2 linked regions of the Drosophila melanogaster genome follow. The gene in region 2 interacts genetically with the main gene of each other region. Each region holds a gene or a part of one and is shown on either strand. Other genes may lie near its edges. The genes, in order: rdgC and Osi21.

What was found.
Region 1: of Osi21 (region 2) and rdgC, changing one suppresses a phenotype caused by changing the other (phenotypic suppression), as found in Drosophila melanogaster (one study listed by BioGRID).

The regions. Positions count from the first base shown.
Region 1 is NT_037436.4:20,244,632-20,252,106, reverse strand, and holds the start of rdgC (retinal degeneration C), read right to left. Parts: upstream 4,028-7,475; 5' UTR 3,782-4,027; intron 3,480-3,781; exon of another isoform or gene 3,047-3,479; intron 1-3,046. Other genes in the region: CG6951 (uncharacterized protein), read right to left, coding at 6,969-7,169. UniProt on the Drosophila melanogaster protein: Phosphatase required to prevent light-induced retinal degeneration.
Region 2 is NT_033779.5:11,283,827-11,290,015, forward strand, and holds Osi21 (osiris 21), read right to left. Parts: upstream 1,881-6,189; 5' UTR 1,778-1,880; coding exon 1,065-1,777; intron 896-1,064; coding exon 760-895; 3' UTR 501-759; downstream 1-500. Other genes in the region: mre11 (meiotic recombination 11), read left to right, coding at 1-292, 360-449.

The sequences.
Region 1 (7,475 bases), on a different chromosome or scaffold from region 2:
GTTTATTGTTTCGTGATTGCATAGCACTTAATATTTATTCTTTCTATTAAAAACACTTCCCTTGAAATCATCGTTGTCAGTTTCGACATTTTAAATTGGTAGCCAGCAAATGATGCCCAAAACTGCATTCTGTTTCATGAGATAAAAGCATTAAAAACAGTTTGCATTAGTGCCAATTTCGCAGAGTGTGTTGCTAATTTGATTTCATTCTTTTCGTTGCAAATTGTTGAGCTAATTACGGGCACTCACAAGGTCAGTCGTGAAGTTGATTCACTCAAATTCTTCGACAGGTAATTTAGTTTGCCTACGCTACTAATTAAGTTGCCCCAGTCAATTTGTAAGAGGGCACGTGGTACTAGTTGTATATATATGGTAATAGGTAGGGATCCGAAGGACCTGCAAGGACCTATTGCCGCTTCACGCGCTGCCCATAAAGGTGTTCCGTTCAATTTTGCACTTTTACTACCCGAAATCTCCTTTGGGGTAGCCATTAACAGGGCGGCAGTTTTAACGACTTTGGAATGATGTCAGCTCGGATGCCGATGCTCGTCATCGTTAAGGACCGATTTGTTCTTTTATTTATAAACCAAATTGGGAATTAACGCAGATTGAGCGTTGGGCGCCGACACCTACAGCCATATGGACTAGAATTTCTAGCCAGCTGTAAGAAACATGATTTATTCACACCAAATACACTCGAAAAAGAATATACCATATATGCAAAAGATGAGTTGGCACTTTAAGAAAGAGTATATTTGAAATATGCTTGAGCTCGATTGCATCGCTTATGAGGCAATCCGTTGATTGAGGTTCTGAAATAAAGCTTTTATATTCCTTTCTTCACGATGACTATGAAATTTAAGAGAAGGATTCGATGAAAAGGATATATTTCAAGAGCTGTAAAACGAGTCTAAAAGTGGGAAACGTTTATGGTTTCCGTGCGAGTAGGTGCAAATGTGTTTGAGGAGGAATGGCGAGGAGAGAGCTTTTCTCCCAGTGTAGCGCAAAAGATGTGAGCCAACACTGCGGCTTAATTGCCATGGAAAAGTATCCGAATACCGACCTTATGCCATCGTTTTGGTTAACAAATCAGGCGTGAAAATGACGGCACCTCGGCTCCTCGGGGGATGGAAGCTAAACTGCTTAATTTAATCGATTTTCGTTAAGAGTTTTAAATTTCTTATCTTGTTTGGGTAAACGCATTTAGCGACGGTTACTCATCGTGCGGGATTGGTTTAAGTTCCATCCGCTATTCTTCTAATACCCTTCTGCTTTTTGGTTTGATGCAACTAATTGGATTGTTATTACTTCAATCCCAAGCCTAAAACTTCAAAACTTTAAATTAAATACACCTTAATATATATATCTTGGTACAGCTTTAAAAATTTGCCATTTCATTTGAAAATACAATACAGGCGTGGTAAGAGTGTGCGTATCTAAAGTAATAAATAATAAACATAAGAAATTATGGCAGTAAATAACTTTTTTATACTTTTAAAGCTTAAATTTCAGGAAGATGTATCTCCCAAAACTTGTAATTATTTTCCAATTTATCCGTACTTATGTATGTTATTACCAAAAGCATCTTGGTTATCAGCCTTAAGTTAATTGCTTTTCGGTTTTAGTCCGATTTCCGTCGACTGGCAACAAAACTTTCGAACACCCGACTTAATTCGAGCCAACATTGTGGACTGTGGGCAGACTTTTCTTGCCGCAACTTTCTACCCAATTTAAATGACTCTAAATTGGCATTTCGTGCTAAGAAAACACCAGAAACAAGAACTCCGAGGAGCTGCTCTTTACGAGTTTTTCGGTGACCGTGGAAAACTGGGGATACGGAAACGGAAAAGCCATAACAAAAAAAATTTAATCGGAAGTGGTGAGAATTTTTGGGGCTGCTGGCGTGCGACTACCAAAAAAGAAACCGCCGGGAATTCGTGCGAAAAAATAAAAAGCAACTCAACCGAACTGTGGGAAAAATAAACGAAATCACGAATAAAAGCAACTAAATCCCAAGGAAACAAAGAGCGAAGGGAAAAAAGGCTCGAAATCAAATGCCAGACGTCATCGAGATTTGTTGCCTGTGAGGCACATAAAACTCATTCCCATTCAGTCACTTTTACAACCTCCAGGAGTTGGGCGGTTGCTAATCCTCCAGCCGTACGCCACCCGCCATCCGCCAATTGGCCCAAATCCGAGTGGGCAGGTGGCCCCAAATTATGAATGTGGTACAAGGAAGCGGGCACACGGTAAGGGACCTAATAAATTCCAACTCGGATTCAATCCCCCATTCAATTCATACATACAAACGTGTCCGTGCATTTGTTTTTATGAACACTTCCATGTTTCGGTGTTATTCTTGTATCATAACAAATTGCGTTCAAGTTAAGTTGGGTTTACGGGTATGGAATGTCAGAATTTCTTCTTTTAATTGCTATACAAATTGGCCGTAGAAATCTACATACTATTGATTGGGCCAATAAGGTAAACCAATGATTCTAGAAATATTCTTGAAATAGAGAATGTGCCTTGAATGTAACGAAAAATTCAATAATAATAGTTCAAACAAACATCAAGAAATTGTCTAAGCTTGAATAGAAATTCGATAAATATATTAAAAGCTTTATGTTGTTTGCTTAAATAAATTTGTACAAATGATAGTTTCACTAAAGTCACTTAAAGTATTTCTCTGAAATTTCATCACCTTTGAGTAGCCCAATGCTTTTAATTTACATTTTTCCCCTAGTCTGCTCTGCTTAGTCTTTTGTTATTGCTTTTCCTTGTTTGTTTTAAAAACACTGCACTTGTGTGTCCTCAATTTCGAAAAAAGTTTTCACACCGCCAAATGGGTAAGAAATATACATACTTGTATCTTAGCAGAATACTTGTCGTATACGTAATAAACATACGAACAGGCAAATGGATAAGTGGACTAGACAAATATTGCGCTTACTCGTGTGAAACACAAAATATCATGAGTAATTCATATGGCAAACACCTCTGGATTGTAATGGAATCGTTTATATATTATTAATTTGCTCCTTGCCTCATTTCTTTGTCTGCTAGCTGTCATCGCCTTCGATTTCATTCCGTGTTATTTTTTCCATTCAACCAGACCTTCTCTTTGGCAACATAAGTTAAAAAACCACGAAATATATCTTGGGCCGAAAAAGTGACACCATTTTTTTCTAAAAACATTTTCAGTTTGTAGCAGTTTTTATTTTGTAAATTGTTCTAATGGATCATTTAAAAAAATTGACTGGAATATATGGAATATGCTAAAATATCTTAAAATAAGAAGTAGAAACACGAACTCTCCCTTCAGCTTATTTTGCATTATTTGAATTCATAGAATACAGCTTTTCTTTTCGGTGTACATTTGATAGCAGTACTATTTATACATGTGTGTATAGAACGTATGGAAATGCATGTTCTTTCGCATATATGTACATTTGTATGTGAGTATATTTTCGAGTGTTTCCCATCCGCCGCGCCGGTCGATTTTACTTTTTTTTTGCTGATCCGATTTAATGCGTGGAATTTGTTAGTAATTTAGCAAAACGACGCACTAAACGGAAGAGCGCGAATAAAAAAAGCCATTCGGTTGGAAAGTTCTGTCGGCACTAAGGATGCGACCATTCCGTGCCAGCGGCACAAGTGGCCATAACATGAAGGCGTGAGCGTAAACAAACACAGAAAATTGGTCGGTCCAAAAGAGAGATAAACAGCGATGACAATAAGATATGTACATGCATGCATATACAAATGTACATATACATACATATGTCATCTAGAAGGCGGCAAAAGGCATTAAATGAAGCCACACACAAAAATTCTCGCGGTGACAGATATAACCAGAAGAACACAAAAGACGGGAGAGGAGGGATGGCAAAGGCATATGCTGCTTTTGGTTCGGAAATAGCGCGTTCTGTGCGGAGAGCATTACGTATACGTACTGGTGTACGGGTACGGATCGTCGGGAGCGCGACGTTTTGTTATTCGAGCGTCCGTGGCGCGTGGAATACCGTTACAAACTGAACGCAGGCCACAAGCTCGGAAATCCTTTTTGGCCTCCGCTGCTGCCTCCGTCGCTGCCAAAGGCTCTGCTGCTGCCACGGCCGGCGTCGCCGCCGACCTCTCACTCGCTCCCACTCTCGCCATATTCGCCGCCATCGCCATGCTGCCCGAAAGCAAAACAAAGAGCGATGGCCGCATCAGCTGATTGCCCCGTTTCATTGCCATTCCCGTTCATTTTGCAGCGGAGGCTGCGCACGGCTCTCTCGCTCTCTTCTATCCATTTCATCTACACTGGAAATAGCACGGGTATATCTATTCCTTAAATTGTTAACGAATTTCGCAATTGTTTCATCTGCGTAATTAGTATTAAAGGAAAAGGCAACATAAATATGAAACCAAATGTAAATGGTTAGTATTTGAATAACAGCCATTTGTGAAATCAATCAATATTTTTCTTTCTGTGCAACCCAGAGAGCGAGCAGAGCAGCGATGCTAATCCAAAGATGCCAAGTTTGATAACGTCCTCGTGTTTGCATTTTGAATTTATGATATGCATCTTCCAGTTAAAACTTCAACCAGACGTGCGGCTGATGCTGGTTGTTTGGGAAAGAAGAAGTAATACTAAATAGGGGAATCAACAAAAAGCCATTAAGACAGATTTTTTTTAGATTAAAGGGGTTTCTTCTTCAAGATACGTATGTACATCTTTAATTGTTGAACAAACGAAAAAGTATTTCATCATTCGATATTATTCCTTTTTTTAAGTTTTAAAATTTATGATAAAAATAGTAATATGAAAATGATAGACTTAAATACGCTTAAAAAACTACTTCATATATGTACAAGATTCATGGGATATAATATCTTGGAATCAATTGCAGATGTAATATTATAATTATCTATTTAATGAATTTTGCAATATTCAGCCGAGCATTTCTGGCACCTGTTTGCAAAAAGAAAAGAAGAGGATCGATGGTTATAACCAACAAGTGCGCCGTGTGACTTGATATTCTGTTGATATGTTCCACTATCGTTACACAAAACCCAGAGCTCTGTTATGGTTCCGTTCTTGTAGTTATATTGATTATTTGCTCGGTTCCATGGCCTTTGGGGTGTCGTATACTCGTATGTGTTTTAATAGTCCAAGTGCCGCCAAGCCTTCCGTTGGCCATTCTGTGTGATTTTGGGGCTCCGGCCTCGAGGGGATTTTGTAGCTGAAACTCACGAAAGCCCCAAAATGAGTGCTGTCCCCTTGCTCCTTCACGGTGGTTTCACGATTTTGGGGTTTTCGTTGGTCGTAGCTTTAACTTTAATGGCAATTAGGGCCCAGAGCGGCTAACCTGCTATTAGTGATTACGGAATGCTCGGTCCCACTTCAAATTCAGTTAGCAGATGTGCGTGCGGCACAAGTTTCCGTTGCAATTGGTAAACTTTGTCTGCATTCTATGCATACAAATACAAACAAGAAGCCGGGCCAGATGAAGATACACAGCCTTTCAGATACTAATCCCCTGATTCTACATGCCTAAGATACACGATTAGATGGTCGTCCGTGTTGTTCCTTAGACTTCCACTTCTTCAGAACTCTTTAAGCCGGAAAGATTTTAGCTAGTGGAATTGTTGAGTTAGTTTAGGTGTAGGAAAGAATAATGTAAGTCAAATAGACGAAAACTCTAATTCTTCGTTTTCCACCTCAACAATAAAACACTTTACTTTACCAGCCAGCTTGACCCATCTTCTCTGCATAACCGGTTCTTACCTTGTGGCCCGATATTGAAATCCGCCGGACACGTTTCAATGCAGCCTGCAGACAATAGTGCATGGAGGCTAGTAAGGGTCACTCGGCGATTTCCGATAGGTCGAGTATCCTCGCTGTTCTTCTTATTGGCATCCTCGTCCTGTTTCGCGCACTGTTTTGCATATTCCAGTGCTAATGGCCGGTTGGCCGGTTGGCCGCACGCCACTCTCACCTGAATGGCCTGGTTGGCTGGTTGGTCAGGTGGGAGCTCCTTCGTGCTGGCATGCCATTGAAAAACATCCCATAAACATTTTGCTCAGCCCGGTATTTAAAATGGCTGCATGCGAATTTTTAGCCAACACAACATCAAAGTTCAAAAGTGGCTAACTTAATTAATTTAATGTGTGGGCCAGCAATAGAATTTTCAAGGTCCTTTAATTACGGAGCTATAAAGTGGCACAGAGTAGTTTCCATTACACATATACCCTGTTTTTAATTTTCGATCAGTATAATTATTAATTTAACTTTTTAGGAATGAATTATGGGATTTAATTCCAAGATTCAATATGAAAATACCATGTACTTTTACCTGAGTAGAGCACTTCCATGGCGCTTTTGGTCTCCGGTGGACACCTGTGCATGCTAAGAGTCTCACCTGACAGTCTTCTGTTTGCCAAGTCAATTAGTGCAAGTGAACACTCTTCCCAAATGGGTACTAATTAAAAAACATTTTAAGTATCTTTGCGTGCGGATAAAATGAAGCGTCTAATCGTTTATGCTCTGCAAAAAAGGAGCAATACTCAACGAAAAACTATTGTTTTTTATTCCCTATTAGGTTAGAATATGTACGTTTTGGGATCTAGATAAGTTCTGCTTTTGATTTTGACTATACTTTTACGAACATATTTGAACAAACGTCAAAGGAAGTGGTCAGATTCAATGATTTACTGGATTTTGATTTTAATATCGATTACAGGGAACTCATTTTCCGAAGCATTTTTCTGACTCACAGATAGAAAAGAACATCGTTTTACGTTTTGCTTTTTAGTTAAACTGTATTTTTTTATTTATATTAGTACTGCCAAACTAAGTATAACTTAATTAGCATGCTATTAAATTTATTTATCATTTGTCTACATATTTAGTCCGATCACGTCAAATTTACTTTAAACACATTAAAAGTTGTCAAGATAGCTAAGATTGTATTAGTACATTACAAATGGAGTTCGTTTAGTCCCAGGGATGCATTCGGATCTTCTTCCGGGAAGGTGTCAAAATCAATGGTGATCGTTTTTTTCTGGGGGATGTGTCGCTTATATTCCACGCCCACTGCATCCAGCATCCGCTTGGATGCACGATATGTGGGCTTATCGGCATATTTGTCGGACAAATATAGCACCTGAGATATGCCCACCTGGAATACAAATAGGTTAATTTATATGTTATGATATGTATGTACTATATATTCTTGATCAATTTTAGAAGATGAGTTCATAAAGCTGCCGTCCGTTTGGTCGTCCTTTCGTTTTAACGAAAAACTTAAAACCTTTTTGAAGCCGTGAAACTATTGGAAAGATTGTGCTTCCATGTTTGTGATCATATATTGGTGTAATTTTGTACACAACCGTTGTTTTTCCATATATTAATTCGTTTTTCATTTTATCAAAATAGGACGACTAAATTATACAGCTGCCATATGAAAATATTAAAGTTGCATTTC
Region 2 (6,189 bases):
AGTTGATCACTTGATGGAAGCAATGCCCAACGACGAGAACATCGATGAGGAGCTTGAAAGATTTAGGGCGCTTCACAAGCATGGGGATCTACTGAAAATGCTTGACACACAGGGCTTGAAGGTGAAGAAAGAAGAAAAGTCCATGTCTGTGTTGGGTAGCGAAGTGAACGTCTCCACTGCCCCCGCGACGGGACGAGGAGCTGCTAGGGGTCGTGGAACTGCACGAACTCGTGCAGGTGCCACAGCTGCCACACGTGGAAAGGGCCAGCTAGATGTGACAGTCAGTAGTACGGTATGAGATGTTAGCCTTTAGATAAATCTGAACATTTTATATTATCTTCTTTTTGTATCCAAAATAGCGAACTTCCGGCAGGCAACAAACGCTCCTTAGTAGCCTTATGGGCTCTCGTAATACTGCCAGCTATGTTATATCGGATGATTCCGATTGATTTGAATTCCGGAGACCTTGTTTACCACGAAGTTTAATAAACAGCAGTTTTCCTTTTTACAATCTCTAGGAGTACATTTCGATATCGTTTATTTTTTGGGCTTCATTCTCAGGGTTCGCGCAACTGCATAATATGTATTTTAGCCTACAACTTAGGAGCTACATTAAGGTGAACGGCTGCTGTCGGACTCCAATTGGTCCGACTGGATGTTTGGATAGTTTCTTTGGTAGTCTAGCTGCATCAAGACTCCGGCGCCGAAAAACGGCGGAGATTTCTCCAGACACCGCTATCGCCACTGCGCGCACACGCGTTACTGCTGATGGTATTCATAGTAGTAGCGATACGGATCCACCGAGGAGCTGCCACCGGCGGCGGTCACGCCCACGCCACCGGCGCCTGCCGCAGCACTCGTCTTGGACACCGGCCGGATCACGTAGGTGTTGCGTCTGCAGGGGAGCACATAAAGGTAAAGTGAATGTTAAACCAATTCTTTATGGAAATGTAATGTTTTGCAAAGGAAAATATGCAATATTTGACGGAAATACTATCCCATATTTAAATCCTTTTTGATTTAATTACTGGACCTGTTTACGAAGACTACAGCTTAAGGCTTACCTGTTATGTTCACCGGCGTGCACCTGGAAGCTGGTCTCCTCGCTGTGGTCGTGCGAGAAGAGCTTCTTGAGCGCAATGATCCCGGCAATGGTCAGGGCCACCTTGCTGATGACCAGAGCCTTGCCGGCGATCGCGGCCAGAGCCTTCAGACCCAATGGACCAGCGATGCCCATGGCGGTGAGGAGGGCGGCCACCACGTACTTGATGTGACCCCCCTCCTTGTGTTTCTTTTTCTTGTGGCCATGCTCGCGACCCACACTATCCTCACCGCCGCCTACGTCCATGTCGATTTTGAGCGTGTGCGTCCGCATCAGCTTGTCCGCCTTGGAGAGAAGGGCTCGATCGATGGGTGACAGGTTGCCAAATTGACGGGCATCCGTCAGGGAGCCCAATATGCTCTCCGTTTCGCTCTGGTTTTGCTTCTCCAGCGCCAGACCGTCCACTATCTTGATTGAGTCCTGGTCCAGGGCTCGACTAAGAGCATGAAGGGCTTTCTGTTTCAGGCAGCCAATGAAATCGTTTTTGTCTTGGCAATCGTCGTACACCCTCCTCACGAGTGCCATCTCGGGACCCAAGCCCCAGGCTGTTCCCCAATCACCGGGACTGGAGGTAGTTGCGGATTCCACCGCGCTGTGTCGCCTTCTCCTTGGAGTCACTGCCGTTGAGACGGAGGCTACCAACGCCAGAAGCAGCAGCCACTCGAGACGCTTCATTGTGAAGTCCTTGCTGACAAATGCGGTTATCCAGAGTCCTGACCTTGAGAGCTGATCTTCGTTGGCTAATATCCACGTCCACTTGCCGACAATCTGAAGATGCTACTGCAGCGAAATCGCTGGGCGGGCAGAGCTTTTATAAATTGCGATCGAAGATTGCGGCGCACTCAGACGGAAAGAACTGGCGTGTTCGATGGGATGCAGACGGATCTCGGTTGGACCTGGTGGAGCAGCTACTGGGAGGGCAATTAGCACTGGCCATATTTTGTTATGCGTTCGACCGACTCTCCTTATCGTGGTCGTCTGTGGGCGCTGACATGTTTTCGTTACCCAACCACGGATGGATGCCTCTTGCATCTTGTTCAGGTCCCGCGATGGAGCCGTGGAGCTGCGGATCTATCCGCCACAAAGTAGCACTTTTCGATTTCTATACGCCTGTTTGAATGAATGAGTACGATTGTCAATGCATATCATAGAAATACAACAAGGGAAGTGGACTTCACTTAATTTAAGATAATATTTAAGATTATTGTTTGCATCTCAAGCTACTTAAACTATATATTATATAATGGTAATTTGCTAGTTTTGGAACTAGATAGCGAATAGATTCGAATTCTATGAAATATTAATTTCAATTTTAAAGAATATTATATATCTTAACACTAAGGGAACTCTTTTTGAAATGCAGAATATTTTAATTAAAGGAAAACTGTGCTTAAATTTTGAATATGCGTCATTTATAAAACACTGAAATCTTAAACAATATTTATAGATTGTATGTAAGCGAACAAGAAATGGGAATTAAACCAGTACACTAGCACTCAGCTAGTTCTTTAATTCAAATCACCACTGTAGCGATTACTGGAGCAGTAGAACACCGGAACTGCCCAGATATTTTGAATACAAAATACACATTAATCAGTTCTTAGAAAAGAGAGTAGAATTAGTGCCAAGAGTAAATATGGTTAGTAGGATCAAAAAAAATCAGTAGAAGATGCCAGCTGTTCGCCGGAGGCAACAACCGATCCACAGACACTATATCTTTGTAATAACTTATAATATTTAACGATGCGTGCAGCGGAGTGATTTAGCCGCTACTTCGGCTACTGCCCCTTGGATTGGGATCTTGGACTGGGATCTCCGCTGGAATCTTTGCCGGCACATGGTATCGCTCGTGCGGCAATGGTTGTGTTTGTAGTCCGCAAATTGGTTATCATAAATTGCAACTGCTGCTCTTGGACGGAGCAGGGGAATCCCCGTCGATGCCGTGCGGTGATCGCTGCACATTTGGCTCACTGGCCCACTGGGTGAAATTGAGTTGGCTGCAGTCAAGAAATTTTCTTTTCTGCGCACCAACTGTGAAAATCAACAGCTTCCATCCTCTAATGGGTATTTTCCAGCCTAGGGAAGATCACAGCGCATCTGGCTAACTGGTGACAGTTAATCGCAGTGAAAAGTGACTGAGACACTTTCGCCGGTTATCTTTTCCACCCGGATAACGATAATTTCTCTAATTAAATAAATTGGCTTTACAAATGTGCCAGTCTTAAAGTTTTACAAAGTTATTCTGATAAAACATTTAGGTATGACTATGGAAATCAGTGATAAACATAATGATAGAAGTTTTTTTTCCTAAGAATTTTTTGAGATTTGGAATTAGATACTACAATTATTGGTACATTTCATTCTTAATGGTAAACATTTTCTGGGTTTGAATATTCTTACTTTCAGAATCGTGTTATTAACGTAGGTATTTAATTAAAGTAAGTCTTAACTTATGTATCTAACAGTACGTAGAGGATTAACTTCTAGATTTCTTAAGTCCGAATTGAAAAAACTGTTACACTGGTGGGATAATTAAAGTGTATGTGTTATTATCTTCTTGGGCAACTGTTATTAACAAAACTATTGACTGGCAATGTAACATATAGAAGTCACCTATATAAACACATGTTCATATATATATATGTATGTATATGTACATATCTTCAGATGCACATATGAGTGCCACGCACACGAATCCTCTGCTCAAGAGGGCGTAAATAATTTAATACATCAAGAAAATTGGAAACGAAAGTTTCTTTGTTTTGGTTTTGGCATGGCCGCAGCTAACTTTTAGTTTCGATGCCCGTAGTAGATAGCTCGGAATCCTCCCGAAAAGGACGACTCCACCACGGATGGACGGACAATTGTGCGATTTATTTGCACATTTCGGCAGACCATTTGGGATTCCTGGGGCGGTTGGGAGCTCTTATCGTCAATAATCATCATATGCTCAAATTTTTGGCCGCTTAATTGGAAAATTGTTGTTGTTCTTGCGATACGCCTGAGCGATTGGGTGATTGTGTGATTGGATGGCCAGGATCCGGATGGATATGGATGGATAAATGGATGATTGGTTTGGCTGACGAGTGCCGATTGATTGATGGCCTCCACATTGTTCTGCGGCCATGTTGTGATAATATTTGCTCAGCGCCAGTTTGATTGGCATTTTGGCCAAGTGCCTTGTGGTTGGCTTGTATCATTGTGGCAAGTTCAAAAGTTAATAAGACTGTAATAATATCATACTGCTTCATAATGTAAAAATCATACTGTAAGTAATAAATCTTACTATATTAAGAATCAGAAAAAAGGAAGCTGTACATTTTTTCTATGATAAAAGAATGGATATTAAGCAATAATATTAGTAATGTTGCTTTCGCTGTAATTAGCCACTAATTATATTAATATTATATTGTAATTTAAGATGAAAACCATCTTTTTATGGTCAATGGTGGACCAATTTTATGCTATTTTTGTTCTCTTTCCAAAACGCAACTGCGCAAAATCAGAAGAGCTCGTCGAGGGTGGAATATGAGTTCATATCTCGTCATATTTCATAACACCCACTTCCTGTGCACTTGCGTTTTGTGGTTGCGACTCCTTTGTGGGCGTGTGGATAGCGATTGCTACCCATTCCAAAATGGCGACGGACTTTGGGGATTATTTTCCCCGGACAGGAGGATGCACTGCCGCTTCTTTGAAGTTTTCCGTTGAATTGGCAAATGACAGGCGGCGGGATTGGGGGTTAGCTGCTCTTGAGTGTGCAGCACGTTGGAAAATGCTCTCATATCAAAAGAAGTCGAAACCACAAAGAAAATCTCAGCGGCAAATTTTCAGCTACATCAAATCATCGAGTCCCGTATCCGTATTCGCATCCGTATTCGTAGTCGTGCGCCCGTATCTCTCAGCCCTGTTTGCACCTGCACCCCTCCGCATTCCGCAGTGCCCCTGCTTAGACAAAGAATTTCCCCCATTTTCCAACTGCACATCGCCTTTCTCTGGCGACTGCGGTTCGTTCGCCTGCTGCCAACTTTCAACTACTTTCAAAGTTTTCACATTTTAAATTTGTTGGCTTGTTGCTTGTGCTCCGATTTTTCTGCTGCCATTTTCCTCCAAAAGTTTCTTTGTTTTTCTTGCTGCTGTTCTTGAGTGCTGGTCGCAAATTTAACAGTGGAATTGCGATGTAAGCGCACTTCAAAAATATTTCAATACTTCAATATACTTCAATCCATAGAAATCGTTGGCAAAACTAGCGTTTTAAACTGAATTGAAGCATAAATACTAATAATTTTTTCCCTCCCCTTAAATAGGAAATATAAATATAAATAATATATAAAAGTGTGCTTATTCTTCTCTTTTTATATTTTAAAATTATTTCATTAAGACAAGAAATGCGTTGTTACAAACTGTGTTCATACTTTAAAATTTACTTACAAACCTTTTGTACATATTTGAGTGAAGAGACAGATTTGTGAAAATCTCTATTTCCTTGGCCCCCATGAATATAAAAGGGCGTTGTACCTTTGCCCTGCACAAAACTCAAATATGAAAGGATATATGGGCTGACTACGGATCCCTGCTCCTCCCTCGAACTATGCCACATGCTGCGGTCTTGGCCAAATTTGCTTGCACTACATATTTTGAAGTTTACCTTCGGAACACTTGCTACTCTATGTTACGATGTATCTATCTAATAAGCTCGGGAAATCCCCATCCTTGAAACGATTCGGTGTCGATGGCTCCTTTGTCTCCCTCATCGTTATCGATTGCGCAGCGAGTTGAGCTGGAAAAATGTTTTCGCTTTATCTGCGAGGTGGGCGTGGCAGTGGGTGGAGGTGGCGGAGAGAAAAATAAATTGTTGCAAACACAAACAGAAATATAATTTTGTTGCCTCGCATCGCATCGCATCTACATGGGCCACATATTTATGGCATGCCAGCACGTACGCGATATATTGCAACCCAATCGCTAGACGAGATGAGGCGGAGGGCTCTTATTTATTTGGTAAACTTCGTTTATATCGCACACAAACCGAACCAAAACGAACCAAACCGGGGGAATCCCATACCATTCAGCGCGCAGGGAAAGCG